Linked DNA regions of Rhinolophus ferrumequinum. The protein of the gene in region 3 purifies or fractionates together with the protein of the main gene of each other region. This does not show direct contact. Links are inferred from orthologs where the notes say so. Each region holds a gene or a part of one and is shown on either strand. Other genes may lie near its edges. The genes, in order: SNRPA1, CCDC97, SF3B1 and SRSF5.

Region 1 (7,260 bases), on a different chromosome or scaffold from region 3:
GGCAAACAGCCCCTCTTCAGGCCACAGACGCCCGCTTGGGTGGAGAGGCTGGTTATAGGGATGCTTCCTTTCTGTCCCAGACTGCAAGCCCCTTCACCTATGGCTGCCAAGCCTGATTTAATTAGGTTACAGCTTCTTTCCGCACAGAAACTGAAACACTTGCACCATGGGTTCCATGCTGCATGCGATTTTGACCGTGTCCTCTCTGCAAGATCAGAAGCTTGTTTTGCTAGGAACCCTTCGGCTGCAAATAAAGGAAATTCACCAACTAGAATTGACTTAGGAAAATACAAAAGTGGGTGAGGGGCATTGTTTTAGGATCCCAGGGTTGACTCAGAATTTCAGGGAAGGGTGCTGCTGGGCCTTGGGAACCCTAAGACCAGCATTAAATGTCACCTGGACCCCTTTGCTTTGGAGCAGTGAATGGGACAAATGACAAGGCCACCACCATCTCCCAGGTGAGCTTTCTGAGTCTGCTTCTTGGCCCTGGTTGGTCTGCCTTCATCGGCGTTCACCGGTCCCATCAGCTGTGGCCACAGGGACAGGTTTGTGCAACAGAACGAAGCTCCAGGCAGTTCTTCCTGTGACCACCTAGCGGGAGGGGTGTAGCATGATGCTGTCAGAAAATGGGGGTAAGGCCCACAACCCAACACTACCCAGCACGAGCGTGAATTGACCAGACCTGTCCGTGTGAGGGGCCAGTGGGGAAATGAGTGGGTGTATTTGCGAGACAGCAGCCAGGGCTGGGCTGATGACTGATACGGATTCAACCTCCCCCAGGAGACTCACCTGAGGTTAAAACCAGCAGCTAAGTATCTCTGGTGGGGGAGGGGAGCCGTTGGAGCCCCTAGAGCTCTTTGCCCACTGAGCGCTTATGGTCTAACATGTTTAGAACTGAATCAGACATAAACTTTTATTCCCAAAGCATTCCCACTACAGGCAGCCAACCAGACAGCCTTGGAACACACATACCCTCATCGCAGTGGCTGGCCCAGCCTGTCCTGGGGCTGACGAGTGCCGTGGGCAGCTGGGAACCTGTTCACAAAGTTCTTAGGACCAAATGCCACCTTGTTTAAAAGGACCGACGACATAAAATGCCTTTTTTTGCAAATGGCCCAACCTTAACTTCATCTAGACTCAGTTGGCGCAGGACATGTTCATGGATTTTATTTTATGTGACAGAATCATGGCTCTTCCCCTGTAAATCTGTCATTTCACAGACGGAGGCTCACAGACGTAAAGTGACTTGCCTTGGGCCACACACTGGCAAGGTTGCTCCCATCCATGTGCCCAGGGAGGGAGGCTGGCTCTCTCCGCAAGAGGGGGCATCACTTGTGCAGCTGACCAAAGGCAGGCATGATGCATTTGTTTTAAACTAGCTTTATTTCCAGGGGGTGACATTTTCCTTACCCTGTCCGCCAAATTCTTTGGCACCTCAAAGTGGTCCCCGGGTGCATATCCCCATCCCTCCCAGGCCACGGCGGACTTTATACCTGGTAATTATGTAAAGAGCTGGGGAGAATTGCACCTTTTACAGAAGACACAGCTGTAATGGGAAGCGGGCTGGACAGAGGTTGAGAAAAACCAAAGGGCACCATGGTCAAAGTGAGGCCAACAGTGCAGTGCTCTTGAATATGGGGGGACGGTCACTCACTGCATTTAAATCACTGATAATATGGCCACAGGGAACTTAACCTGAATGCTTGGGGTATGCTGGGGCCCCTGGGAGCAGGTGAAGGGTGGAGGTTTGCGTCAGACGACGGAAAGGCAAGGAGATGGAGAAGTACAAAAGAACGGCATTTTAATAAGAACAAAAAGTAGTATACCAGCCATTCTGCAGCATCTTAAGGTTCTGCCCAGCCAGTTGGAAGCGACTGGGTGCTGGCTGCCATGGGAAAGGAGGAGACTGCATCCCGCTCCGGACTTCCCTGCTGCTTTTCTTCCTTGAACCCAGGCCTTATCCTTCCTGACACCTCAGGCTCTGTGGCTTGTCTGTGCACAGAACAGCACCCCGAGGTGATGCAATGCTGAGCACCCATCTCATGCCCTGGGGTTCAGTTCCCATCACCCGAAGCTGCCCCCCACCCCAATATGTACCAGCTACACTAAGGGTGATCGATACCTACTAGGCTCCTTGTTGAGCAAATAGGAGTCCAAGTGCCCAGAGCAGAAAACATCTCGTTGCCAAAAACAGTGGTTCTCAACCGGGGGTGATTTTTGTGTCCCTGGGGACATCTGGCAATGTCTGGAGGTATTTGGGGGTCACAACTGGAGAAAAATACTGACATTTAGTGGGCTGAGGCCTGGGATGCTTCTAAACATGATGGAATGCCCAGGACAGCCCCACAACAAAGAATAATCCAGCCTAAAAATGTCACCTGTGCTGAGGTTGAGACTCTCTAGCCAAAAGAAATGAAATCAAAACAGAAAATCTGTTCTCAACTTCATAGAGATAACCTAAGGTTAATATAACTGCCTCTAGTTTATCTCCCTGTCCATATGCCGAAGCAACAAAAACCCATACAAATTTCCTATTTTAAAGTAAAGAAAGAAACTCTTTTCAATCCAGCAAGCCAAGGGCCAAAACCAACTCTTTGGTCTAAGGACTCCCCCTGGTGGTCCTCTGTGGGATTAAGTGAAGTTGGGATTGTAGCGTTTTTTATTTTGAAACAATCTCAATGCAAAATTACAGAAAAGTTGCAAGTACAGTACAAAGAAATGTTTTCCTGAACAATTTGAAAGTAAATTACCGATATGATACCCTATTACCCATCCACCCCCAAATATTTTAGAGGCTATTTCCTATAAACAAGGACCTTCTCTTATATAATCATCAGAAAATCAGGAAATTCACATGGATATATTACTACCTACCGTCTAGTCCTCTGACTGCATTCCAGTTTTGCCACTTGTCCCAGGAATGCCCTTAGCAAAAGGATCCAGTTTAGATCACATTTTGCATGTAATCCTCCTGTCTCTCAAGTCTTCTTCAACCTAGAACATTTCTTCAGTCTTTCCCTGACTTTCATGACCTTGAACCTTTTAAGGACTACAGGCCAGTTATTTATATGCTGACCCTCCGTGTCTTTGTCTGAGGTTTCCTCATATTTCAATTCTGGTCAGATGTCTTTAACCGTAATCTCCCAGAAGTAATGTGTTCTTCTCGTTGCATCCTAGTAGGTGATACAGGATTTTGATTGGTTTCATGATTGGTGATAGTGACTTTGATCAATGATTAAGTTTTTCCCCCCTTGGCTATGAAGTGATGCCTGCTAAAAGGATGTCCCCTACCACCACTGTCCAACCTTGTACTTAAGATGCCAGACAATGCCACAGGGCAAAAAATAAAGAACTAGTACACAAAATGGAAAGGAAGACATAAAACTATCATTCTCAGACGGGACGCTTTCAAAGTAGTGTTCCGTGTCTGCACCAGGGCCGACAGTTTTCGCTGGCGTGCTCACTCTGCGATCATTCGTCACGTTGCACACTTCTGATGTGCCCACCTTTATGTATTATCATGCATTAAAATAAACATTTAATTGTCTGGAGGCCTAACCACAAAGTCGACCGTGCCCAGGTGCCAGGTGCTGGGAGGTCGGGCGGTCCCAGCGGCCTGGCCGGGAGCAGGTGATCCAGCCCCGGGGTTCAGGTTGTAGCCCGGGGGCCAGAGCCCAGGACCCAGACGGGAATCCAAAGTCCTGGACCCTGCATGAATCCCACGGGTGCCCGCCACCTTCACCTCCAGGTGCACTGATGCCTGAAAAAGTTCCACTCGGGTATCGTCACATGTTGCTTAACTTGCGGACACAAATGTCTGGAATCAGGGGTCCTCCAGACTCCAGAGACGCCCTAGGAAAGCAAGCAGGACTAGACGCGTCCTCAGCGCGCTCCAGGGCCTCAAAGGAGAAGGAGATCGGGGACGCGGCTCTTCGATTGCTTCGGCCTGGACGTCGAGCTGCGCGCGCACGCGGCGGTGCGACTGGTGCTGCCTGGCGGCGGGCGCGGGGCAGGCCGGGACCTGTGTGTGGCGGGAGGCAGCCGCGGGCCGCGCACCGGGAGCGGGAGGCGGCAGTATGGTGAAGCTGACGGCGGAGCTGATCGAGCAGGCGGCGCAGTACACCAACGCCGTGCGGGACCGCGAGCTTGACCTTCGGGGTGAGTCCGCGGAGAGGGCGGGCCGTCGCCGGGCCGCGCCTCCGGGCCGCGCCGCGTGTGCCGAGCGCTGGAGCTGGGGCCGCGCGTGCCTGCAGCTCGGGCCCCAAGGGGGCGGCTGCGCCGGGACCGCCGCGGCCTGAGTCCTGCCGGCGTCACCGAATGACCGTCCCTTGGGCTCTGCCTAGGCTTCTGTTCCGTCCTCGCTCCAGGGCCGACGCGGTGGCTTCCTGGTCCGTGTCCGCGGGCCTCCGTGAGGCCTCCTCGGGCTCCTCCTCCGTCCGCTGTGTTTGAGGGCCGGGGAAATGCACTGAGTGCTTGGTTCTCAGTCCGTACTGGTCATCGTGCGAGTGTCGGTAGGACGCGTGTGAATTGTCTCCAGTCGGTGAGGGAGGAAACGAAGTCCGGGAACAAAAGCGATTGCTGCCCAAACGTTTCCGCCTTACGAGCTCCAGTTGTCTGCGATTTCCCTTTTACCGGCAGGTTTTATGGAGTGAACTGTTTCCCCGAGGCTTGCTCGACCGGGTGTCGTGTGTAAGTGGTGCAAGCTCTCGGAACTAATCGGGTTCCCGGAGCTATTGCAACCTTAGGGAGGCCGGGCAGGACACTGAGTACAGCTGTTTAATCAGCGTGTCAGAAGATGATTCCAGGAAGGACAGTCCTGACGAGCGGGGGAAAGAAGGGAGAGGACACACGCTCGAGTGGGCCCGATGACCTGATTTAGTAATACCTAATCAATGTATTTAGTAATAGGCAATAGCAAAAGGCAAGTAATAGAACGTGCTAGTGACAGAAGTAAAGGTGGTTAAGACTAAACTATATACATTGATAACAAGGTCACGTCAAAGGAGTACACGTACTTAAAAGTTTAAGAGATCCCAGCACATGTTTACTATTGATCAAAAATCACTTGGCTAAATGCACAAATAACGTCAGTAAGGAGAATCCAAAAGCAGTAATAAGCCCTCTAGGATAGTAACTGTGATAGTAGATGCCAAAAGCTCACCAAACCGTAGGAAAAGTCATAAGTCAAAACTTCATCGGGTCTGCAGCTGAGAGAAACTCAGGCGTCTCCCGCCCCGCCGCTTGCTAGTTCCCAAGAATTTTGCTGCCGTTTTTTCGTTGCTGGAACTTAGGGCGTCCCTTGACATTACAAGCTGCAAGCTGTATACACGTTTCTAAACTGTTCACAAGTTCTCCGGAATGCTGTTGCTGTTGTGGTGGCTGTTGCTGGAAGTTAGGGCGTCTTCTGATGTTGTAAGCTGCAAGCTGCATACAAGCTTCTAAAATGTTAACAGTTCTCAAGAAGGCGAACGGTGGGGAACAACACCGGAGAGGCCGGGAACCAGGCAGCCCTCACCAGGTCCACGGCTGGAAGTCAGGACAGCCCCTGGTGCTGTAAGCTGTGTTGCTGGAAGTCTTCAAAATGTCAGAATGATGAAGAGTCACCAATGACAAATGATGAAATTTTAATTACGATTACACTGCCAGCTGAGGTCTGTCTTAAATATTTTCTCAGATGTGCCTTAGAGCCAAGTTTCTTGTTCCTGCCGCCCCCTCCGGGAATGGCCGGTTCCGGGAGGGTCCGGCAGTTACTGATACGAATGCTGCCCATCTGGCCGAAGGGCCAGTTCATCTGGATAAGCAACAAGACCTGGCAACGTGCCTGTCACGTCGTCCTGATATAACTTAGCTACTTCTTCACTTCTGCTGATACAGGCGAAACAGAACAAAGGGAATTCTCTCAACCCCTGATCAAGAATTCTTTTAACTCTAAGCTAACCATCACCTCACAGCACGACAGAAAAGCAACCTCATCTCATGTCTCCGCTGCTCGGGAGAATGAGACCAAAGGGGGAAGTGACTCAACCCTGATCACAGCACAGAAATCAGGAACATACTGGAACAGGTAAAAGCTAATACACAAAAGCTCACATCAAACAATGAAGGCAAACTTTCTTCACTTCTTCACGTCTTCCCTGATAAAAAGAAACAAGAAAGTCACATCCGCCGATGAAGGCAAATTTTCTTCAACATCTTCCTTACAAGGACCCGAAGAGCAGCTTCTGCAGGGATGAGATTGTACAATCTTGGCCTGAGATTTGCTCCCACGGGGACTGTAGAGTCTGGGAAGCTGCCGTGCTGCACGCTCTGCCCAGTGCTTTTATTTTGATGCACTTAAGTTTCTCAGAGGAAGATTCAACTGGAGAGTAACTGACCACTTTGACCTTCCCGGCTCAGGTTGACCTCTGTGGTCTTCAAGTGTGAAGCATGTGGGGTGTGGAGGATAATTGGGGCAGCACTTAACTTGGATGTAGCCCTTGCAGCTCTGAACGGTGGCCTTCCTTTAACCTTGGCTGGGTTCATTTCTTCGCTTCTAGCATCTAGCACAATAATTAAGCGCATGTTAGACAAGTCAGTGAGAATTCGCTTGAATTGTTCGTAGCGTGATTTCCCATTGGGTATAAGTCATTGACCTTCAACCCTGGATTGGAGACGGGGGAGGGGAAGTAAGGGGAAACTGTCATGGTGTCGTGAGGCTATCCTGATGGGTTGTATGAAGCTGACCTGTGGGAAGGCAAAAGAGAACTGTTGTCCCCGGTGTATGAAAAAGGTTTGGACACTGGCCATAAGCAGCTCACTGTAAATTCCTGTTACGCCACTTAACTAGCTCTGGGGCCTTGCTTAGAACAGTATGAGGCACCTTGCAAATACCCTTCCAAGTGTTAGCTACCACTTAATGTCACTAAGTATCCTCGTCGTCATCGGCCTTGACATCAGCACCTTCACGACCACTGCTACACGGTAAGCTTCATGGCAGCCGGGACTTGTAACTTTTTCCCTATTTTGTGTGCCAGTACCTTGCAGTGTTTGGTGAGGCATAGGTGCTAGGTAAACACGTTCTGAACAAATGGAAGCTTTGAGTCGAATGACCATGTGATACTGCCCGTGTTTTAAGGTGCCTTTTAATTATATTAATACTTGTGTGGGGTTTTTTCCTCCATTTTACAGGGTATAAGATTCCTGTCATTGAAAATTTAGGTGCGACCTTAGACCAGTTTGATGCTATTGATTTTTCTGACAATGAAATCAGGAAACTGGATG
Region 2 (7,754 bases), on a different chromosome or scaffold from region 3:
AGCTCCTCCTCTCAGGGAGCACCCAGCTGATGGGGTCGGCAGGCAAGATCAAAGAAAATGCAGGCGCTGCAAACAGGAAAGCTGAGCGCTAGACAAACCTTGGTGAGAGGTGCCTCTCAAAAGTGGTGGGAACTAGAGCCAAGCTGCAGCAAACAAGACAGAAAGTACAGACAACTCCTTTAGGTAGCTTGGCTGGGATGGGGAAGAGCAAGGGGGTGATGGTTACAGGTGCATGGCTTTCAGGGGGGCGGTTTCATCGCTGGCAAGAGAAGACTGAGATGGGCAGTCGCTGTGGAGGGGATAAAAGAGGTGGTGGTTAGAAAGACGCTCAGGAGGCCATGTAGACAGGCCACAGGGCTGAAGGGCTGGGAGGTGAGGAGGACAGGGCAGCCAATTAAGATCCTGGGCTCTGACCAGGGGACTGGTCAAACTGAGGCAGAGACATGGATGAGGAGCAGGTTTGGGGGAAGATGCTGAGGTCAGTTCGGAGCATGGAAGGTATGTGCCCAGGGGACACCCAAGGGAGGCACCTAAGAGACCACTGGTACATGGGACTAGAGACTTCTCAGGAAAGAAGTGCAAGGCTGGGGACAGAGTTGTGGGGGTCATCAGAGCCAAGACAACAACTAGAGTTGAAGGACATGAGAGGTTATAGGGAGGGCAGGGGTGTGTGTGTGCAGAGAAGAGGGATGAGAAGAGAAGAGGGGCTAGGAAAGAGCCCTAACTGGAAGGGGAGAAGATATGCCTGTGAAAGGGTAAAAAAAGGCCCCTTAAAAGATAGCCACGCCTTATGTCCTGGAACCTACGAGTCTCATCTTATATAGCCAACAACAACAAAAGAGTCTTTGTAAATGTGATTAAGTTCAGGATCTTGAGACAGGGAGATTATCTTGCATTATCCGGGTGGGTCCTAAATACCATCACACTGTCCTATAAAAGAGAGCCCAAGATTTGACACACACAGAAGAGATGACAAGCAGAGATCGGAGTGATGTGGCCACGATCCGGGGAATGCCAGGAGCCTCCGGAGGTGGAAGAGGCAAGGACTGGGTTTTTCCCTAGAGCCTCTGAGGAGAGTCCTCCACAGTCCTGCTGACACCTAGGTTTCAGCCTTCTGGCCTCAAGAACGTGAGAGAATAAATTTCTGTTGTTTTAAGCCACCCAGTTTGTGGTAATTTGCTACAGCAGCCCTCGGAAATGAACAGAGAGGATAAGCAGGAGGAGCCTGAGACTAAGGAAATCAGAAAGGGGTGTTACCGAAACCAAGGGAAAACCTTCAAGGACGGAGGGCTCCATACCATTCAATGGGTGACTCAGTTTAACTACACCGGGAGGTCATTTCTAGGAGACCCTAATCAGAGCAGTTTCTGAAGGTAAAAGTCAGACTACAATGGGTGGGAGGTGAGAAAATGGAGACATGTATGAATGACTCTTTGGAGAAAACAGACGGTTTCTGGAAGGCAGCACGGGATCAAGGAATACATTTTTTTTTAGGTTAAAATATTTTTATTATGGAAAACTTCAAACATGCACAAAAGTAGAGAGTACAATCCCCCCTCCCCAATATATCCATCCAGCTTCAACAATGACCAGTTCTCCCAACCACACACCTCACCCTACATGAGATTACTCTGAAGCAGTGGGAGGGAATTTTAGGATGAGCAAAACAAAAGCATTTAAGATACTGATGGGAAGGCATCAGTATGAATAGAGATTGAAAATGCAAAGGAAAGAAACGGGGGAGCACAGAAATGGATTAAGGACCCTGAGGAAGCAGATGGGACTGTGAATTTTGGGCGAAGGGGAGAGTCAGTTTGACAAAAAGGAGGTAGGTAACTTGAGAAGCGGAGTTGGCTGGGACAATGGGAGAGTTAGCCCAGGGTAGGGGCGAGGTTTATGTTAACCTTCTCAGGCTGGCCTGGTAAGGAACTGGGTTAGCCTGGGACACGGAAAAGGCTGGCCTGGAACTTGGAAGAGGTTAATTTAGGGGGAAGGGAGGGGGTGAAGGAGGTTAACCTGGACAAAGTGGTGATGGGGACAGGCAAGGCCGAGCACAGGTGTCCTCCTTTAAAGAGTTCTCCTCCGCGCTCCTGGGGAATCATTTCCCAGTGACACCGCAGTCCCACCCTCCCGCCACCTCCGCGTGGCCAGGACCTCACCTTCATTGGGCTCCCTCACAGCCGCCGCGGTCGCCACGGCCTCCATCCAGATTTCCTACCACTTGTTAACTGGCGCGGCAGGACCCGCACACTAAACCCGGCCACCGGCTTCTTAGCAGCCACTTCCGGCTGAGCACATTCTCGATGCTCCGCCCGGTGCTCCACCGCGCCCAGAACCGAAGTTCCGGGCCGAAGGCGGACCTCCCCATGCGCATGCGTGCCTCCTCGGGCCCCGCCCTCCGGAGCCAGGAAGGAAAAGGGGGCCAGGGTCAGAGAGGCCCTTCCGTCCCCCGCCCATCTGAACTGCTGCGAGTTGGGAATATCAGGAGGGATCTGAACCATTGTTCAACTTGTTCACTGCTGTGACTCCAGAGTCCAGCATGATTGATTTTAGGATGGATGGTTGAATGAGGCACCCTCCAGGGACTTAAAGGGTTTGTGCTCTAGTGTAGACCCCCGTCTATCCCCTTATTTCTTCACCCCTTCAAAGAATATTTGCTTAGCCTTGCCTCTTGCTTCTGTCATCACACCCAGTCCCTGGCTCATGAGATGGGTGGTGAGGACCTGGAGAATCTGCAGATGTGGAGGGAGAAAACCGTGGCCCTGCTTTGCCCCAAGGTGATGGGTAGGGACTAGGGTGTTACCAGGAGTAGACATGACGTCATCAGTGACCACCCCGAGTGCCCAGAGCTCTGATGGACCGAGGGGGCTAAAGGAACTGCCACTACAGCCCGGAGGGTCAGAGAAGGCTTCTTTTGGGAGGAGGGGATGCCCAATTCATCCTTAAGGATGAATTAGGATAAGGGTCGCGGGCACAGGGAGGTGTGAGGCGAAGACCCAGAGGGGAGGGCAGGCATGGATAGTTCTGGTTACTGCAAGGACTCAGTGTATGGTCAAGGAATAGAAAGAATTTTAACTTAAAGGTCATAATTGGGCTGTAGAGGATTTGAGAACCTCATAAATTTTGTGCAAACTCCATGTATATGTGGATTTGGTTCATGGCGTTTATAGAGTCTACAAGGGACTTAATGACTCCCCCAGAACAAACAACTGATCTTAAGTTCAAAGGAGGAGCAGCAGGGGCTGGCCAGGTGGCGCAGGCGGTTGGAGCTCCGTGCTCCTAACTCTGAAGGCTCCCGGTTTGATTCCCACATGGGCCAGTGGGCTCTCAACCACAAGGTTGCCGGTTTGACTCTTTTGAGTCCCGCAAGGGATGGTGGGCTGTGCCCCCTGCAACTAAGACTGAACACAGCACCTTGAGCTGAGCTGCCGCTGAGCTCCCAGATGGCCCAGTTGGTTGGAGCACATCCTCAACCACATGGTTGCCAGTTCAACTCCCGCAAGGGATGGTGGGCTGTGCCCCCTACAACTAGCAACTGGCAACTGGACCTGGAGCTGAGCTGTGCCCTCCGCAACTAAGACTGAAAGGACAACTTGAAGTTGAATGGCACCCTCCACAACTAAGATTGAAGGGACAACCTGACTTGGAAAAAAGTCCTGGAAGTACACACTGTTCCCCAATAAAGTCCTGTTCCCCTTGCCCAATATAATCTTTAAAAAAAAAAAAAAAGAGCAGCAAAAGATGAAGCTAGCTAGTTAAATCATCTGGGACCTGGCATTGGCTGCCCCCATAGGCGTGTGAAGTAGCCTGTGGGGATATGGCAGGTGGTATCAGGATAAGGGACTGGAGATAAGGGAGATCTGTGAGGAGGCTGATGCAGTAATCTAGCGTGGCCAAGAGCAGTTTGTATTCACAGGATAAGGGATCTGGAGGAAAGTGGCCCATTTGCTACTCAGGAAAGGTGGGGACTATACTTAAACGTATCACCAGGTGGCCAGCAGAGGGCGCTGTTACCCAACACACGGAACTGTCCGGAAGGGGACTACCCAGACTGGAGGCCTTCCCTGCCTACTCTCCTTGAAGAGGGAGTGGGGACTCTAGGGTCCCTTTTAGCCCAACTAGCCAAACTTGGCTCCCTCTCACGTTTAGATGTCCCACCCCTGAGCTCAAAATGAGTAGATCTTCCTCCTTTGTGTAGCCTGTGTCCCCTTCACAAGGTTCCAAGATACTTCCTGTGAGGGCAGGGGTGGGACTGAACTGGTTACTCCTGTGCCCCAGTATTGTCCCTCCAAGGGAAGGAAGAGAACAGGCTGTGGGGATGCAATCATAAAGTCCTTTACCCTGGGCTATTTTAAAAAATGTTCCCTTCTCTAGGAAGCCCTCACTTCACCATACGCCCCCCCCCCCCCAGGCTCTCACAGCTGACCACTTGGTGCTGTCCCCATTTGATGACAGGTCTGTGTTACCTTTGGACTCAGAGGCCTGTCAGGGCAGGGTCCAGGGCTGCCTTGGCAATGCCATGTCCCCAGTACTGTCCAGACTGAGGAACAGAGCAAGCACCTAACATACTGGCTAGATAGAGGTTCCTGGAATCTCCACTCGACTAGACCCAGTGCAGGCAGGAACCGTCCGAAGTCCAGCTCACAGGCCAAGCCGGAGGTAGAAGCCATACCCGGTGATAAGCCCCAACAGGCCAGCCCTGGTTTCCATCCCATCAACCCTGTCACCCTCCACATAGGGACCTGGTTCCATGCTGTCTACTCACAAATCCTCTATTCCTGTAGAGATTTGGGACTGGAAAGGCCAGGGACCAGAGAACCACTTTACAAATGAACTAGTGGGTTTTAAACTGAGGGCCCCAGGTTTAACGGGGGCATCCCCAGCACCAAAAACAGGGCCAGGCACACAAATCCCTCAAAAAGTGTTTAATGAATGAGTAAATAATGTCCCCTTGGAAAGGCCCCACCCCAATTAAAGGCCACTGCAGTAACACTTCAGGGTTTTAACCCCACTTCCTTCCTGCTAGGAGGTGCCATGCCATTTATTGAAAGAAAACAAAATAGAACAGGGCAAACACATTTCTTAATAAGTGCAGTTTGTTAAAATCCTGTTAAAACATATGGGTCAAGGGGAAGTTAAAAATAATCAGAGGATCACTGTAGGATAAACCTTTAAGTGTGGCACCTGGGAGACCTCTGGAGAGGAGGTAGTGGGAGTTCTGAAAGGAAGAAGCCCCCCACCTCCCCTTTTCCCCTCTTGCCCACTTAATCCCACCAGAAACTACCAAGACGCCCGGAATAAAAGGTTTCAAGTTCAATAGTCACACTCTCTCCAAATACAAAAAGCAGTTACAACTCAACACAGAAGCTTGTGTGCAAAGTTATGAGAAACTGAGACATCGTATAAAAAGTTAGGTTAAAGATGATTCTGTGGTTTTTTGTTTTGTTTTGAGGGTGTGGCTCTTCCGTGGTTGCCTGAATTCAGCAAGGAAATGGTTATCCCGATGAAATATCAACAGCTGACCCACAGTAAAAACGGACAAATTCTAAAAATTAAAAAAAAGCATAATTACAAAAAAAAAAATCTGTCACTGCTTCCTCCCTCCACATGTTGCTTTTTAAACTTTTTTTAAAAAAGTTTTTGATTTTTTTTTTTTTTAAATCCTGAAAAGTAGACAGTAAAACAGCTTCTGGAAGAATTTACAACCAACTGCATGAGGGTCTGGGAAGCCGAGGGTCCGGGAAGCCAAGGGGCTGGAGCAGGGTTGGGATGAGTGGATAGGAAGGGGTCCTGCCCTCAGCCTCACTGTGTGACCAAGGGAAAGGAGGGGTCTTTAGTCAAAAAGGAGGAAGGGAAGAGGAGGAGGAGGAGAAGGAAAAGAAGGCGGGGAAAGGAGGGGGAGGGAGGGGGAGGGAGGTGGGGGGAGAAACAGAAAATAAAAGTTTATTGTTGCCTGTTTGAATCCAGAGAAAAACGCCCAGCCCTGTGTGGGGGAAGAAGCCCCTCAGAGGGGAGGCAGCCCTGGGATGGCCCATTCCCCAGCACCACGGGACCCGGTGGGGGCAGATGAGGGGTCAGGGTGGACGCTGGTGGAGGAAGCGGCAGGGGCCTCCGGGGCACACTGGCTACTGAGTGCTCGTGCCCCCCTGCGTGTTCCCGGTGTAGCTCCCGTAGTCATAGTTCCCGTAGTATGGCGGCCACTGGCCCTGGTTCTGATAGTACTGGTTCCACTGCTGGGCATACTGGGGAGAAACCAAAAGCACCAAGTTGACCTTCATCTAAACCCTCATTTGGCTCCTCTCCTCACGCCCAGGGTAGAGATGGGTACAGTGATAAGTGCCGACATGGGTCCCCTGACAGAGGAATCAAAGCACCTAGGTTTGACAAATGACTGACCTAATGCCACATGGGTGGGCAGTTAGGGAATGCAGCCCAGGTCTCCTGGCTTGCTAACTTAATGTCCTTTCAGGTATAGCTAGATACCACGTTCAAAATACTTATCACAGATAGGGCCACCTAGCGCCAAGCTATCAGAACAGTCACTGGCCATGGTGCTGAAGCAGGATCTAGAGGCCACTGCTACAGCCTTTCCTTGCTGCACTGGGGAGAGGGGCTAGAACACTGGCTGTTGAGCAGCCAGTGCAGAAGTGTTCACCAAATGGAATGGCTCTAACAAATGAATGCCAGCCAGGGCCAGCAGGCTGCCTGTCTTCTCAGGGATAAGCAGGAACTCAATTCTGGGGATACACCTCCACGTGGGACCCCTGGAAGTCTCTCCATTCCATCGCCCCCAGCCCTCACACCCCTCCTGGCACTTACCTGCTGATACTGGTTATAGCTCGGCTGAGGGTAGGTCTGTGCGGTAGGGGGCGGTGGTGGGGTGTAGGGTGCTGGGGTGTAGCCGCCGTAGCTCCCATAGTTGTAGGCAGGTGGAGGTGGAGGTGGAGGTGGTGGGGCTGTATAGCCCTGGCTGTAACCTCCCTGGTTGTAGGGTGGCTGGCTGTAACTCGGCTGGAAAGTGGGGAGAAAAACCAGGGCTCTGTGAAATAGCCAGCTCAGCTGGGATGGAGGGCCTTCGTAAGCAGTGGGTCCACAAAAGAACTTCCCTGGTGGAGGCTGTCTGGGGGCTGAGGAGGGAGGTGGGTCAGCTCTGTGACATGGCAGGACAGGCTAGGATATAAGGCTGTGTTCTAAACTCTAATCCCAGCTCTGAGATCCTGGGGGAGCAAGGCACATAGCACTTCTTGAAATCCCAGGTTGGTTGGTTTTTGTTTCTTCTTCTGTAAAATGAGAATTACAACAAAACTACCCCTTCAATTGCCTTTATGTCCACAAACTATTGGGCACACAGTAAATGGTGGTAATTGTTACAGGAAGAACTGCTGAGAAAAACAGTAGTGGCAATTCCCTAAGTGCTTCCCATGTCCAGGCTGTATTATTAACTCATCTAATCCCCCCACCAGCTCTGTGAGGTAGGTTCCATTAGCCTCATTTTACAGATCAGGAAGATGAGGCTCAGGCAGGTGAAATCACTGGGCTCAAGTTACACAGCTAAAGTGGCAGAGCTGGGACTTGACCCCAGGTCTGCCTAGTTCCAGAGCCTTACGCATGAAGCTATAATGCCTTCCCCCAACCCTCACAACAAAGCTTGGATGTGAGTTCTAGTAACAATTCTAGTCCTTGTGAGGAAAACGAGGTCCAGAGAGGTGAGGCTCTGTCCAAGGTCACAAAACCAGGACGTTACAGGGCTGGGA
Region 3 (8,193 bases):
CTGAATGGAAAATAATCAGGTAAATTTATCATTTGGGAGGTGATATGACTATCAGTTCAGGAGAGAATCAATTCAGATTTCAGGAAGGTAGCCTGTTATGAAATATATAAAAATTAATACTTTTCCTATACTAACAAGAAACAGAAAACAACAGTACCATAGAAATGCAAAATATCTAGAAATAAATTCAACAAAAAAAACTTTAGGGCTTAAATCATAAACAAACAAACAATACCACTCTGCATCATGGAATCATGTAAAAAACAACCTGAAAAATCAGATCTAGATATGTATTATTCTTGGTTATAAAGAATCAACATAATTAAAACATAATTCATCTCAAAATTATAAAGCAATTTAAATAATAACAATCAAAATTACAAAAAGGTATTTCTTGAATATGCCAGAATAAGTCTTTACATATTAATTTAAATTAATCTTTATGATCATGAAATGAGGCCCACAACAGAGGGAGTGGGAGAAAAACCTACCTTCCCCAGGTTTTCAGACACTTTGAAATAAATACTGAAATAAGTCCCATGAAAAAGTTTGAAACCTTGTATCCTGGAAGCTAATTTCTTAACCTTTGTAGTCTACAAAGGTTAAGAAAGTAGTACAACATAGAAGTCAAGGGGATGGACTTTGTAGTCAGAAAAGAATGTGTTCAAATATCTCCTCTAAAACATAGTAAGCCATGTGACCCTAGGCAGGTTGCTTAACTTCTCCACTTCACTCTCTTCATTCATCATTGAAAAATACCCCTAAGCATTCTTTTCAGGGTTAAATGAAACAATTTTGGCAGTGTACAATGTTTCATAAATGGTAGCTATTATTATGTGTTTATGTCATATATGAGGGAAAATATTTGGACTACAATGACAAAGTTGAGTAGCTCCAACAGAGATAGATAGTATGGTCCACAAAAACCTAACAGATTTCCTATCTGACCCTTTACAGAAAAAGTTTGCCAACCTTCGTTCTAGATGGTAGGAGCCTCTTAGTATGCCTGTATGTACATCTATGTATATGCGTATGTGAGGGAGATATATAAATATATCTGGGCCAATGTATCAGTAATGTTGCCACTATAGAAAAGAACAGTGTACAACAATGCAGGTCATAAACAGGTCCATTCTTTACATGTCAAGGTTTAAATCTATCCTATAAAGTTACCATATAATTATATTCATTCAACAAATATTTATAAAACAGCAAGGGCTATGGAAAGGCCAACCTAGAAACAGAGCTTAGTCTATAAGAAGAGAATCCAGAAAAAAAAAAAAGTTATGATACTCTATAGAAAATTGTGAACATGCTCTTTTAGTAGAACTAATATATACAAACCCTATAATTCTCCTCTCTGAATATTCTTTTCTTTTATTTATTAATGGTGCAGCTACTTTGAAGAAAGTTCTTGCATATATCTCCTTAGGCAACACTGAAGTATTTGGCGGAAGCGTTCTGCTCATCAGTATACCACAGGAAGCTAAATATCTAAAAAGACAAAAATTACTTGATTTAGAGAGACATCGAAAATTAAGAGGAAAACAAATTACAGAAATTGTAAACACAAATTATTAGAGATTGTAAAATACCTATCACACTTCAGAAGGCTTTGCAACTTTACAATATTCCTGAAACACACACATACACACACACACACACACACACACACACACTCACACACATACAAAAAAAAAACAAGCTTCTTTGAGCACTGTAAAGAAAACTGAAAATAACAGCTTATAGCTAGGGTTAGAAGCTTCTGGCACAAAAGGGATCTATCCCAAAAAGTTGGCTTTTGGTCTATAGTCATGTGTCACAACGTATTCTTCTATACACTTGCTAGAATATTCATTATGTATTTTTCAACTCATCTACCCAGGTTTTTTCCCCAGCTGGATCCATAGGGGTTCCTTAATTCTTGATTTACTCTATTAGATTTGAAATTAGGTCTCATTCTCAGATTGGAGATCTGATGACCCTGTCAGAACTGTCACTCTGCTCTCCTTTTATTTTCTGATCTCCACTTTGTGCATATATGTAAAAACATATGCCAAGGTAATTATAATCTTAATTGTTTGAGGTACTTCTGAATCCAGATTCCCCGATATACCCTTGTTCACCTAAATATTTGTAGTCTTTCCCTAATGAGATTATTGCATAACTATTTTACACTACTATTCATGAATTAGTTCACATACTTATTGAGCTTCTATTCTGTGCTAGACATATAATGGATATAATGGTGACTATATAGATATAATGGTGAATAAAACAAACATGAGTCTTATGAAGATTACATTCTAGCTGAAGATTCCAAAAAAAAAGTGCTTAAAAGAGAAAGAAGATGGGAACATGCAATTAGGACTTCCTTTAGATCGGGGTCTAGGAAGTCAGCTGAGGTTGTATTTCAGCTGACACATAGTGGTAAGGAGATAGCCATGCAAAGAGAGACATAGGTATATATGTATATAATAAATGGGTGTGCCTATATGTAAACACATACACGTGTGTAACATATAGAGTTATATATGGAGGAGAGGGAGATAGGGGGCATTCCAGGCAGCAGGGAGTCCAGACTACAAAAGACTAACAGTGTATCAGCAGTACAGCAGGCGGGGAGTGTCTGAAATAATGTTAGACAGGTTGCAGCTGGATCATGCTGGGGATTACTGCCCAGGATAAAGCAATTTGGAATTTATTCTCAGTGAGAAGCTGTTGAAGAGTTTCAAGTAAGAGAGATTTCATTAAATTAAATCTTCAAATTATTTTTTAAAGGGAAATGGGGTGGCCTGGTGAAATCTCTTTATGTTATCAAATATAAAATTTTATCCATATAAAGTATGATTTACATATAAATAAAATTTCTTTAAGGACATAGACACCCTACAGTTTGAGTGGGGAAGAACAGAAAATCAAGTTAAACAAAGAATGGTCGAAGAAACTGGAAATATTCAGCTGGAAAGTAAGGGTTGATACCTGAAAATACGGCTCCAAAAGGTAAAACAAAAGCCCAAGTAGAGGGAGACAAGTTTGGGGTCCGTAACACAAAAGAACTTTTAAACACTTAAAGCTATTTATAAAAACTGGATGGGCTTATTCCAGAGGCAATGAAATAGAGAGCAATGAAAATGGTTAAGCTAGGGGCGGGCCTGGTGGCTCAGGTGGTTGGAGCGCTGTGCTCCCAACACTGAGGTGGCTGGCTTCATTCCCACGCAGGCCAGTGAGCTGCACCCTCTACAGCTAAGATTGTGAACAACAGCTCTCCCTGGAGTTGGGAGGCCATAAGCAGCGTGTGCTGCCAGGAGCGGCCGGTGGCCATCGTGAGTGGCCGGCAGCTATCGTGAGCAGACGGCAGCCAGTGAGAGCTGCCACAAGCTGCCATGGACATCCAGTCGGCGACCCACTGCGTGCAAGGCTCATAATACCAGCATGGGCTAGGGAGCTGTGTCCTACACTAGACAGAGAAACAGGGCTTGAACTGGAGGGGTGGGGGAAGCCTAGGAAGGGGAGAAACAAAAAACAAGCAGATCTGAACAGCACGATAACGTTTGCTATGCTCTGCTTGGAATTACTTTTTCAGGCTATGTCCTAAAACAGGAGTAAACGACCTGAAATGATTTTATTCCAGTTTTAACCAGTATTTGTCTAAAATGATGAGTTGGCTGGGTTGTAGGCATTTTAAAAATTCTTCATGGAATCTAAATGTCCTGGAGCTCAACCAGATTCGTGTTTTCTCCCTTCATCTCGTACTGTCTACAATTCATTTCATTTTAAACACTAACTTTAATTTTTCAGCATAACTTATTACAATGTTATTATTAAAAGGAAACTAAGTGGTGGAAATACAGAATTCTTCACCTTTCCACATGCATTTACACACCCACTCAACAACAACAACAAAAATCGAGGCAGACTCTGGTTCAAGGTTACAGGACCTGTAAGTTACAGTGGAGTGGAAAAAAAATTCCAAGTCCCCCACGTCTCCTACGTTTAGTTTTGCAAGAATCAAAGGGCAGGGGCAAAGACCTCTACCAGAAACTGGGAAAGCTCGTCTGGCCATCTGGCACTCAGCAGGAACAGAAGGGGGTTCACACCAGGCCACAAACTCCAAGACGCCCAGCAGCCCGCAACCCTCACAGGCAAATATAAAACTTTCTGACAACAGAAGCAGCAGGCCATAGGGGAAGGGACCGGAAGAGCCTAAAGGCACAGGTCGGCGAATTGCTTTATTAGCTGTTTCAACGTCGCTACGCCGATGATTCACCGTCTCTCGCGAGGGCAGTGAGCCACAAACACAGACGGGGCGGCCGGGAAAGGCCGGCGAGCGTCCGGCCCGGGGTGATGAGCGCGGCGCCTGAGTCCCTTAAATGTTGAACTCAGGAGTTCCCTCCAGAGACGCGGAAACGCTCCGGATCTGGCTCCGCCTCATCTAATATACAATCCCCCCTCGTACTCCCACTCAACAGGCCTGGGTGGAAAACTACCCACGTCTCGGCGCCCGAGTTGATTATTACCTGACGTTCCGCGCAGGCACCTGCGCCGGATTGGGGGCTCCAGCTGCTGTCGTCGACTTTGGACGACAACCCGAGACCGAGACCACCTTTCTCAGGGCCCTCTGACCAGTCCGAGCTGCCATGATCGTCTCACTGAAGCCGGTCACCAACTCCAGGACCAAGCCCACAGCACCGCCCATCTCCGGCTGGGCCAGGTCGCCTGGCTCCGGCGCCTTTCAGCCAATCCGCAAGCCCCATGAGCCACCGGACACGCTCCTCCTCTCACCCCGATTGCGCAAAGCTGACGCACGCTCCCACCGCCGTAGGGCCGAGTGTAAACGCGCGGGTCATTCTGCCCGCCAATTAGAGGGAGCAACAGGCCTCTTGGACACACCCCCTCCCCGGCCGGCCTCTTGTTCTCGCCGCCCGCTCCGACGCTTTACGTAAGACTCGCGGTGACGGTTCACCCCACCCCCTGCGCTGGAACTCTTCCCGGGATTTGCCAACCGCGGGGATTCTTTTGGGCGCTGCTCTTGGTCGCGAGGCCCAGCACGTGAGCCCAGCCCCGGGGCGGAGGAAGCCGGACATTCTCAGTGTTAATTATGTAACTGTCCAAACCGGTGAGTGCTGAGCCGGACCCGCCCTCGCTCCTGGCTGCGAAGTGTGGCGGTCAGTCTTGCTGGTAATGATTGTCTAATACAGTACCTGCGGCGCAACCCCGTGGGGTGGTTGTAAGGGCAACATAAGGTCACGTTCTTAGGGAAGATACTCAGTTCTATCTGCTTCTTCCTGCGAGGCCAGCATTTGAATTGGTGTTCGTGTATGGTTTGGGTTTCCCTCATTCCATTAAAACCAGACAGCTTTGCTTTGATTCACCCATATCAGGAATCCGTCAGTCATCAAGTCCTGACGTGTTTTTTTTTTCCCCAACCCTTTTGTTCCCAGGTCCTTATTTAACCGTTGTGCACACAGTTTCCTGTAAACTGAGAATAGCAGTACTATCTATTGCAGTTTTGAGGAGTAAATGAAATACTTGATTAAATGTAGCCAACAAATATTTTGTGGCCCTTACTCTGCCGTGTTAGGTGCTGGATAAGTGAACAAACGTCTTTACCATCATAGAGCTTATATTCCAGGGGGAAAACCAATTAGTATACTACACAATATCAGATCATATGATGTAGAAAAAAGTAAAGCAAGGTAAGGCGATGAAGAGGGGTAAGGTGAGGCACTGCTTTATGTAGGGTGGTCAGGGAGGCCGCTGAGGAGGTGATATTGAACAAAGACCTAAATGATGTGAGGAAGTGAATTACGTGAATATTGGGTGGGGGGAGTTACTTCAGGTAGAGAGAACAGCAAGTGCAACAACTTTGCCCTGTTTTATGAAGAGCAGAGGCTTTGGGTTACAGTGAGTGAGGAGGAGAGTGGTAGCAAATGAGATCAGAGGTAGTGAGGGCTTTGTCAGAGTGCCTGGGAGGTTAATGGTACCAACTTTGGATTTTATTCCAAGTGTGAAGGGAAGTCATTTGAGGTTGAGGGCAGAATAGTGACTTGATCTGAGTTACATTTACAGACATATTTCAGCTGCTATGTATATGTATGATTGTTATTTTCTACTCTTGCTTTGTTCATTGCAGTCATCCCTTACTTGATGCTTTGTGAAGTGAGTTGAAATTCCCAGCTACAAAGTTTGTCAAACACTTTTCAATGCAACATAGGATGTGTTTGTCGATTCAGGTGGTTTTGAAGCTGCATCCAAAAAATTCTATATCAGATTACCTTCAAATTCACAATCCCTGCTCTTCTTGACTTAAATCTTGAATGTTTTCAGTAATGTCTTCCTTTAAAAACAAATTTTCATCATATAATTCCCCTACTAAAAAACTACAGTGGTTGCCAGTGCCTACAAAATATAGGCATTACACTACCACCTTCTGCTAAGTTCTATTTCAAACCATGGGTGATGTTAACTAGAAGGCCTGCTAAACATATTTTTTAGTATAATTACTTATGCACTTCTTTTAAGGCCTTCTTTTATTAATTTCGCCAAACATTTTCTCATTCAGTTCTTCCCAGACATGAAAATACCTACTGAATTGGGCCACCCAATTGAATAGTTTCCCAATTAAAAAAAAAACTTAAAGGCAAATAAAGGAATCTTTGTAATAGATGACAGTGTATGACACACATTTGACTTCTCAGCAGAGTAATACATGTATGTCATAAGCTTAAAAGTAATAATATAATAAACTCTGGTCCAGTTTCAGTGGATGACAGTGCTTACACAAATTGGGGGTTCAAAGGTTTGTCTATACAATGTGAAATGATTGGTAGTAAATGAAACTCAGCACAGACCTATGGGAAGCGATATCTTAGAGTCCAAACTAACTATGCTCTTAAAAATACATTTGACACGACACGACATATTAAATATTCTGGGAAAAATAATTGAAGCTGAATCTGGCCAAGCTTTTAGATATGCTAGTTTACACAGGGAATAAAAGAACATGTTAAAGGCACCAAAGAGATACAATCTGCCAAATAGAGAATGTGAGAAATTCTGTAAGACAAATGATCCAATTTCTTCAGCAAATAAATGTCAAGTAAAGAAGGAAGAAGGGGAGTAGATTTTACATCTACTATTGAAGATTTAAAATATTTAAGAGGCATTATTTAATAGATTTTGTTTTGAACAAACTAAACAGAAAAAGGCATACAAAACTGGGAAATTCGACTGAAATGTATCTCTCTACACAGTAGACATTCATACTGAAGATTTTACAGGTGAAATATGTCTTTGATTTGCTTTAAAGTAATCTTGTGGGGTGGAGGAGTAAAGTGGATGGAACAAAATTAATTGATCATTAGTTGATAATTATTGAACTCGATGATGGGTATATGGAGAGTTTATAATAGTATTATATATAATTTTTGTGGATGTTTAAAATCTTCTGTAATAAAAATATAAATAGATGGCCTTTCATGTGATCTTCCCAAATGAAATCCTCCTGATTGACTTCCACTTAGAATCATACATTGACCCCGAATTTAAATTGAACAGAACCAGAAAGGCTTCAGGTAAATAGTGATGGCTATGATTTTGTGTTAATACTGTTTTTAATCAACGCTCCAGTCAAAACAAATATAGGATGAATTTTAACCACAGAACAAGACCTTTACTTAAATATCACATATATTTTTCTGAAATAAAGCAAGTTTTTAAATTCACATAAACTCATTACTGTCACCTTTTTGATCAATAGAATAATCTTCCTAGCATGCTCAATGATTTCATACAGGCATTATCTTTGTGAAATGTTAGGTTGAAAGAAAACCTTCCTTGACTAAATCAGCAACTGAGTTACAAGAGATTAATACTATTACAGATGTTAGTTTCTGATAAAAATCAGACGATCAAAGAGGATTAACTAGACAGTTTGCCCTTACTGACTGACTTTGTAAGTCAGGGACCAATCAGGAAAATTATACCAGTTATTTTAAATAGAAAATTTAATGTAAGGACGTTGTTAAACAGGGATTGGAGAACTATGGTGACAAAAAGGGGATAAGAAAGTAATAGTAACTGCAAGAAATAGGTACCATACTACCCCATGTTCCCAAGACCACTGGTGGGTTCAGTGATTTGCTACGAGGACTCACAGGACTCACCATATAGTTAGCTTTACTCACAGCT
Region 4 (8,048 bases), on a different chromosome or scaffold from region 3:
GGAGCCAAGGTCTGGAATCTTGTGCATGAAGAACCTAAATCTTGGAAATGAATGGAACTTTCCTCTCCTCTCCTCTCCTCTCCTCTCCTCTCCTCTCCTCTGCTCTCCTCTCCTCTCCTCTTTTCTCCTCTCCTCTCCTCTCCTCTCTCTCTCTCTCTCTCATTCCCTCTTGGGATTGTCAGCTGCCATTTTGTGAGGACATCCTATAGAGGCCCACATGGAAAGGAACTGAAGTCTCCAGCCAACAGAAAACTGAGGTTTGTCACTAGTCATGTGAGTAAGCTTGGAAGGAGATACCCCCAGTTGAGACTTTAGATGAGACTGCAGCCCCAGCCAACAGTTTGTAGCTGTATGAGAGATTCCAAACCATCCAGTCAATCCACTCCTGAATATCCTAACTCACAGAAACTATGAGACAGTAAATGTTTGTGGTTTTAAGCTGCTAAATTTTGGGATAATTTGTCACACAGTAATATATAAGAACTGCTAACAATGAAGGAGAAATGGTCACTGGAGAAGAGGAGAAAAAGCATGGAACGGCTGCTGAGATAATGAGAAAGAAAGGAGTGAACCAAATAGTGCAAGTCTGGTTGCAAACTATAGTTGGGACTCACCTGATTAATGTGCCAGTTAAATATTCAGACTCCTGAGCCTGAGATTCCTGAATCAGGCTCCCTTGGGAAACATCACTGGGAATCTGCATTTGGAATAGAGCACAAATGATTCTTTTACAGAATCCTTGAGTTAAAGGATAACTTAGAATAGAGGTAAAAGTGGGACAGAAACAGCAGCTAAGGCTAGAATTTAAATTGGGAGTTATTTCATAGCACAAACTGACATCAAATCAGCACTACGTTATGGATCTATAAATAATTTCTAAGTTTCATCAACAAATTCTGAATTAGTGGGAATTGCTTTCTATCCACATCTAAGAAAATATTTTCAGCATCCTTTCTCTCTCTCAGTTCATTCCCTATGCAGAGATGCTCTCTGCCTATTCTAATTTCTACCTCACTCCAAACTTCTCTGGCCTTGGTGGTCAGGACTCTGCAATTCAGTAGTAGTGCTTCCTGTTTCTGGGATTTCTGGGGCCACCTTAATGCACAGAAAGGTATTACATGAAGTCATGCCGTAAGCTTTTGTGAATAGGGCCTTGGCAGGAAAATCAGAAAGTGGGATGCTCTGGGCAAAATAAATTCTTAGACTCTCTAAGCCTCAGTTTCTTCATTTAAAAAAATGTTATAACACCTACATGGAAGAGTTGGTGTGAGGACTGAGATTATGTGTCTGGAAATAGCAGCTGTCGATATTAAGAGGGATAATTAGGATGATATGCTTAGGTACCCTGAATTTAATTATCTTGATGTTAGAATGATTTGTGTCATGAATCTGCTTCCCTGTGACTGTCCCAGTAGGGCTCCAGCCATAACCTGAATGAGGCATGAGTACTTGGAGGAGGGAAGATGGAGCCAGATGACAGATGGGTTTTATGGAGAAAAAAGTGAGTTTCTAGACCTGAGTCAGCAACTCCAATACTGGCTAAGTATTAGCATTGCCTGCAGCCCTTACTGACAAATGAGGGTTCTACCCCAGACCAATTAATTTAGAATTTCTGCCAGTCGGAACCCAGGAGTGTTATAAACACTTCCCAAATGATTTTAGTGTACAGTTGGTGATGAGAAACACTGAACTAGGCTCTCAAGTGAAAGTACAATAGTGGTTTCATTGGTATTTTAATTATTGTGCACTAAATTAAACAATATAAAATCAGGATGTAGTAATAGAAAGAAGTCAAATAGGTATATAGGGGTGAATCTGAGCCAAAACGGAACAGTTGAAAAAACACACATTTCCAAGAGAGATTAAGGATACTTACTCCTTCGAAAGATCTTTAGAATTATTAGCTAGAATCAAGGAAGCAACACTTTTTCCTTAGTGCTGGGAGTTTGGGATAGGAATTTTTAAGCATCTGGTGAGATTTAGGACATTTACAGAGAAACAGAGTAGCTGCCGTTCAGAATGAATATTTTCCCCAGGCATGTAGTTGTGTCATGTTGAGTAGAAAAAGAGATACAAATCTGAATATGCACTTTTGATCATAAGTATATTAAAACAAAGAAAGCTGGAAAATGCCCATGAATAAGTTTTATGAATAGAAAAAATCACGATACCAAATTCTATATGTGAGAATGATTCATATTTTGAAAATAAAATCTTGAAAATTGTGCTTATAGAAAAACACTAAAGGGTAATTATAAAGAAAGCCAAATAGTTATCCCTCAGGGTTGGGAATAAGGATGGCCTTTTATTAATATATTCTCATATCTATGTTTTTAAAAATGATGATGTATTATTTTTGAATTGGAAAAGAAAACATATGTTAAACACTCAGGACAAAAACCATAAGAAGGAAAAGAGCAAGTTATAATCAGAGATAGATTTGGGGAGATGGGATCATGAGTGTTCTCTTTTTTCAATTATTTTTCCTGTTGAACTTTTTTGCTATATTTCTTTTTTATAACTGTAATAAAATAAACTCTATTTAGAAAGAAAGACCACATCCTGTCTCCTGGTTATTATCTGACAAAGGGAGTTGGGTGGAACATTCACAGAACATTTTAAAGTCTAGGAATCAGTTAGCTCAGGTAAAACTTGGCAAACATTTTCTGTAAAAGGCCAGATAGTAAATATTTGAGGTTTTGTGTGTCTCTACTGCAACTACTCAGCCCTGTCGCAGGACAGCAGATGTAGACAATAATTAAATAAAACGGAGTAGCTATGTTCCAAAAACAACTTTATTTATGGATAATGATCTTTGAATTTCATATACTTTTCATGTGTCATGAAATAGCCATTCTTATGATTTCCTCCAGCCCACACCATTTAAAAATGTAAAACCACCCTCAGGCTGTACAAAAATCAGGTGGCAGGCTGGATTAGGCCCACAGGTTGTAATTTGCTGACCTGAGTTAGATAAAAGCAGGAATGGGATGAATGACACATCCCACAGTTATGCTCAAAGTCCCCGACAGAGTTGGCCAATAAACTTTGTCTTTATATTAATCTGTGATTTCTTTGCACTTTTTCCTTTACTAAAAATTTGCCCCTCATTTGGATGTCTTAGGAAAAGGATGCCAAGCCATTTTGTTGAAACATTCTTATAGAAGATGACCTGAAAAAAAATGCTAATGCAAATCCAGGTCTACAAATATTGAGTCTTTTCTGTGTTAGGCATTTCTGGAAAACAAAAACATGAATAACATATATCTTATTATAAGTCAGTGATGAAGGAATTATAGGGGTATACACAGAATACTGTAGGATCACACAGGAGGGAGAGTAATTCTGCGCATGGAAGATGAGGTTGTATTTATTGGAGAAATTGTTAAGAAACAATCTGGTAGGGACTTACTATGTAGTTGTCATGGAAAAAACAAGCATTGCAGAAGACAAGTGGTTTAAATTACAGTAGATCAAGTCACTAGGGAATACTGATGAAAAATCACCTTTGTGGAAATGACAGACTTTGTAACAGTAATCAAGAGAAAAGGCTTTATAAAAAAATTAGTCCCAAAGAAAATCACAACAGCACGCGCTGAAGGCACCAACTTTTTACCCGGTGTACAGCACCATTGTTCCTGTTTTTCCCCCCCCCAGAAAACCTTTTCCAGATCTCTTACTGCGGCAAAAATGTTTAGTGAGTGAAATCACAAGCTGTTGTTTCGGTCAACAACACAAAATGTATAAAATAATGAATGGGAAGACTGATTTTTTGAAAATTATGTAGAAAGCAAACAAATTAAGTACTGGCTTGGTACAATTTGTGCATTATCAAATGCCAATGTTGATCAGGCTATCAGCTAAAGATGTTCTTTAACTTAAATATTTCCTTTTAAATTCCCCCACACAATAGATAACGTCACTATTTTGCTGTGTACCTGCTGAGGCTCTTTTTAAAATAAACATAAAAATTCATGAATGGACTAGCTCATGCTATATGAACTATCCAAGTTCTAATGCAGAGTTCCTAAATGCCCCGGTGGTCAGTGGAGGTCAGAGTAAGGACAGGGAGCTCCTCTCCTTGAACTACTTTTATCTCTGTGTAACTCTAGTTACAAACAGCAACCCTAGATTCTGGGCAGCTCTCAAAAATGGGATGATTTGCGTTCCACTTAAACGTATTAAAGAAACGTAAGCCTCTCACCATCTTCATGCCCAAATTTCTAAGCCTGACAACCTTACTGGGAAAGTGGAGTTAAGGATGCGGAGGGCTACATTTCACACCCATTGGCCAATAAACTTGAAACTTTGAAAGCACAACATTGTTTCTGAAGAATGTAGCCTATCTTGTGTTCCGTTACAGAAACCTGAACGGGGAGGGTTGACCAAATGTGTTTGGATTCGGAAGAGCTTGAAACCTCTTATAGCCAGCACAGTCCTGGTGTAGTGCAAATGGAGAAATCGGCATTCTGGACTCAATTCAAGATGGCCTTCTAACTGCAGTCCCAATTTCAGTATTTCATCACGTAAAAAACCTTCCATTTTAAGAAAAAGTGCAGTTCCTTAGTCTTCTTACTATAACTAGTGTGGTTTAACACGTCCATGGTACGGTTAAAAGATTCATTGCTCATCAAGGAGCGTCCTCCAACGTGCAACCTCAAATTGCAAGCAGCAGGAAGAGGGCAGGGATGGCCAGATACTTTTCGCAAAGCCTGAGTTTCTCTTACCCAGTACTCTTCAGGTCACCATGAAAAAAAAATCAGATAAAAGAGAGACGTGATTTATCTTAGAATATTTTCATACTAGAGATAACGAAGAACAGAACTTGACAGCCTGAGGAAAGCGAACATCTTCAATGGCTGCCCCTCCAGCGCCGGGAACCTGACGGCCGAAACTACGCCAGTTCTCGCCCCTTGGTCCCTCCCACCGCGGGCGAAGGTCGGTCAGGCGGTCACGGTAAAAAGGCCCCGGTCCCACCGAAACTTCCGTCCCTGGACCTAAGGGGGCGGTCCCATGGGCGGCCCCGGATGTGACGTAAAGGCGCGCCTTCCATTTTGTGGAACGCCAGAGCAGCTAAGTGCGTCAGTTGTGGAGATACGTAGACGAGTTGAGTCCTGGTCTGCGGGGAGGTAGACGGCTCCGTCGCAGACTACGGACCTCTCTCTTGGGTCTCAGCTGCCAAAGATCCTGTCCGGTAGGTGAGTGGCTCACTTTGAGGGAATGGCTTCTCGGATCGAGGCTTCTTCATGGCTACTCAGATCGCGAGTGGCCAGGGCTGCTCTCTTTGCGGAGGACGGCGTCCAATGAGCGCAGTTTATTCGAGGTGGGCGCTGGGGCACGTCTCCCTTTGGGTATTGTTTGAGGGGAAGTGAAGGTGGAAGGGCGGTCGTGGTTACGGTCGTTTTTACATGGAGGGGTTGTGCGCCCCTCCCTGCCTCTGATTCACTAGTCGAACCCCTCGAGTAGTGAGCCGAGAGCTTTGCTCGGGGTGTGGTTCGGGTTTTCTGCGGGCGGGTACGGTGACTCCGGAATAGTGGAGTCGGGGGAGGGGGAGAGAAGGGAGTTTGGCACGCGCGGCTCTTCCCCCCCCCCCGCCGGCTACCCCGCCGCCATTTTGTGGCAGCCTAGCGTCCTCCCGCCGCCATCTGCGCAGGCGCGGCCGTGGCATTGCGAGATTCCGTCTTCTACCCGCTGTGACGCTCCTGGGAGGCGGCGACGCGCGCTCGGCCCGTCGTCATTGGGCTGGCCTTGCGGAGGGCGGGGCCGGCTCCGCCCGCACTTCTCGGCCTTTCCTAACTGCGGCAGATGGGAGGGGGCCAGAAGAGCCGGGGAGAGTGTGAGGCTGCGCAGTTCCAGAGGCGGCAGTGGGCGTTGCGGTTGCTGTGTTCTGGGCCCAGGGAAGGATCGTGTTGGGAGCCGAGTTTTAATTTTGTCTGCAAGGGACCTGGCCTAATAAGAGGCACTCTTGGCAATCTTGTTTATAACATCACCCGGTAAACATTTTATTTTATGCTGTTTATGTTTTTGATCCCTCGATTAGGCATTCATTTGACATTCACTGGTGGTGTCTCAATTGAATTATTTTCTAACAGGAACTGCTAGCCGGGCGTTATGAGTGGTTGTCGAGTATTCATCGGGAGGCTAAATCCAGCGGCCAGGGAGAAAGACGTGGAAAGATTCTTCAAGGGGTATGGACGAATAAGAGATATCGATCTCAAAAGAGGCTTTGGTTTTGTGGTAAGTATTTAGTTAGAACTTCTTGAGCTATCTATTGTTCAGTTCGTAAAGATTTTGATAAGTAACGTTTTCGATCTTATTGAGAACAGGTAGTGTGTCTGGAAAATGTTATGTATCCTTAAGACAGTGAACAAAAGAATTTGCTGGCTAGAAGGAAACCAGTCCTGATCACTTTTCAATTAGACTCACTATCTATATGGCACTGTCATTAACATACTCGTCCCATTCTGTTACATGTTTTTGGTGCTCTTAATATGTTGTAGAATATACTTTGAAAACTGTGTAAAGCTTTATATTTTTTCATGCTAATATTTTAGGAATTTGAGGATCCCAGGGATGCTGACGATGCTGTATATGAACTTGATGGAAAAGAACTTTGTAGTGAAAGGTGAGAACCTTATTTTTATGTTTATGACTATTTAGCATTGTAATGTAGAGCATTCTAGATTTTGGGTATTTTTCTAGGTCTCATTGCTTAGGTGAATGATAAAGGTTTTTGTTTCCTTCTCTAGGGTTACTATTGAACATGCTCGGGCTCGATCCCGAGGGGGAAGAGGTAGAGGACGCTATTCTGACCGTTTCAGTAGTCGCAGACCTCGAAATGATAGACGGTATGTGATGGCTTCTTGGAGCAATCGTTACTGCAGGGGTATTTAGTGATTAAGAACCATTAGCAATAAGTGATTCTGATATTTACCATATAGTCAGTTCTGTTATTCCTATGTCAGTCTAGTATTTCTGATAAGTCTGTGTAATGAGTCATAAAGTCAGAAACTGTCGATGAACATTTGAATGACTTGTCATATCTGACTGCTTAAACTTGGTCAAAATTGAACAAAATAAACAATACGTTACTGCATTTCTTCCATTGTTGAATTCTCGTTTCCTTCCTCAGAAATGCTCCACCGGTTAGGACAGAAAATCGGCTTATAGTTGAGAATTTATCTTCAAGAGTCAGCTGGCAGGTTTGTTGTAATTCAGTTTTGAGATATTTTATTGTGGTTTTTTAAAAAACTAATGGGTAGCTAATTTTTTATTAATATTTTATTAAAAGTATTATTTTTAATTAAATTAATGGACTTAACTGTAATTTTAAATTTTTAATTAAATGTAACTGGGGGATATTTCAAACTTTAATATTAGTGATCAAATGTAAATGTTTTGAGGATATTTTACTTGTTTTTAAAATCAATTTTAACCAAATATTAAACCCTTTATTTGCCAGCCTATCTGTGTCGTTGGCCTTATGACGAGGAGTGCCTGTGGGTTATCCTAATCGTTGTCTTGGTCACTCTTGGTTGGGCCTGGTTGACTTTGCCAGTCAGCTCCTACAGTGATCAATTGGCCACCTCTAGATCTGTGTTTGCCGGTCTAGACGTAATCGGGGCACTTTCTTGAAGTGCCAGGTTGCAGCGATCCCAGAGCGCTGATAACGTGATCTGATCCTTAAGTTGAGAGCTGTCTTCCTGTAACGCTTCCGAATAAGAGGTCCTGGTCGAAAAGAGTTGAAAGATACGAAATTAGGTGGTCGTTGGAATCCTGATCGCAGTAAAGTGGTCCTTGGTAACTGCACAAGAGTAGAACATGTCTGCATCCGCCAGTAGTCTGCTAATAGGGAGGGCTGTGCGATTAAAGGCTTCCATCGATTGGGTAGTGTCCTTCAAGTGGGTGGCGAAGAGCCAGTCGGGCATATGTCATGAAGGTTTCTTCGACCGATTAACGGTTTGCTGCTTGACTAGCCTAGGGAAATAATAATAAAGGTAAAGTAAACTTTTTTAATGACATATGGGGCACAAAATAACTGGTGTCTT

Evidence for each region.
Region 1: the proteins of SF3B1 (region 3) and SNRPA1 purify together in Homo sapiens (affinity purification with mass spectrometry; 8 studies listed by BioGRID and IntAct, counting the BioPlex papers as one, with this or other methods). This does not show direct contact. The link is inferred for Rhinolophus ferrumequinum from reciprocal best matches to the Homo sapiens genes SF3B1 and SNRPA1.
Region 2: the proteins of SF3B1 (region 3) and CCDC97 purify together in Homo sapiens (co-immunoprecipitation; 4 studies listed by BioGRID and IntAct, counting the BioPlex papers as one, with this or other methods). This does not show direct contact. The link is inferred for Rhinolophus ferrumequinum from reciprocal best matches to the Homo sapiens genes SF3B1 and CCDC97.
Region 4: the proteins of SF3B1 (region 3) and SRSF5 purify together in Homo sapiens (co-immunoprecipitation; 3 studies listed by BioGRID and IntAct, with this or other methods). This does not show direct contact. The link is inferred for Rhinolophus ferrumequinum from reciprocal best matches to the Homo sapiens genes SF3B1 and SRSF5.

What each region holds. Positions count from the first base shown.
Region 1 is NC_046311.1:12,857,810-12,865,069, reverse strand, and holds the start of SNRPA1 (U2 small nuclear ribonucleoprotein A'), read left to right. Parts: upstream 1-3,979; 5' UTR 3,980-4,076; coding exon 4,077-4,158; intron 4,159-7,167; coding exon 7,168-7,260. UniProt on the Homo sapiens protein: Involved in pre-mRNA splicing as component of the spliceosome. Associated with sn-RNP U2, where it contributes to the binding of stem loop IV of U2 snRNA.
Region 2 is NC_046298.1:39,625,538-39,633,291, reverse strand, and holds the start of CCDC97 (coiled-coil domain-containing protein 97), read right to left. Parts: upstream 3,299-7,754; 5' UTR 2,206-3,298; coding exon 2,160-2,205; intron 231-2,159; exon of another isoform or gene 99-230; intron 1-98. Other genes in the region: HNRNPUL1 (heterogeneous nuclear ribonucleoprotein U-like protein 1), read right to left, coding at 6,126-6,242, 6,820-7,011. UniProt on the Homo sapiens protein: May play a role pre-mRNA splicing through the association with the splicing factor SF3B complex which is involved in branch-site recognition.
Region 3 is NC_046291.1:33,139,694-33,147,886, forward strand, and holds the start of SF3B1 (splicing factor 3B subunit 1), read left to right. Parts: upstream 1-4,969; 5' UTR 4,970-5,119; intron 5,120-8,193. Other genes in the region: COQ10B (coenzyme Q-binding protein COQ10 homolog B, mitochondrial), read right to left, coding at 1,345-1,494, 4,521-4,699. UniProt on the Homo sapiens protein: Component of the 17S U2 SnRNP complex of the spliceosome, a large ribonucleoprotein complex that removes introns from transcribed pre-mRNAs.
Region 4 is NC_046289.1:27,441,098-27,449,145, reverse strand, and holds the start of SRSF5 (serine/arginine-rich splicing factor 5), read left to right. Parts: upstream 1-5,043; 5' UTR 5,044-5,198; exon of another isoform or gene 5,199-5,323; intron 5,324-5,623; exon of another isoform or gene 5,624-5,993; intron 5,994-6,092; 5' UTR 6,093-6,111; coding exon 6,112-6,237; intron 6,238-6,554; coding exon 6,555-6,625; intron 6,626-6,749; coding exon 6,750-6,848; intron 6,849-7,132; coding exon 7,133-7,202; intron 7,203-8,048. UniProt on the Homo sapiens protein: Plays a role in constitutive splicing and can modulate the selection of alternative splice sites.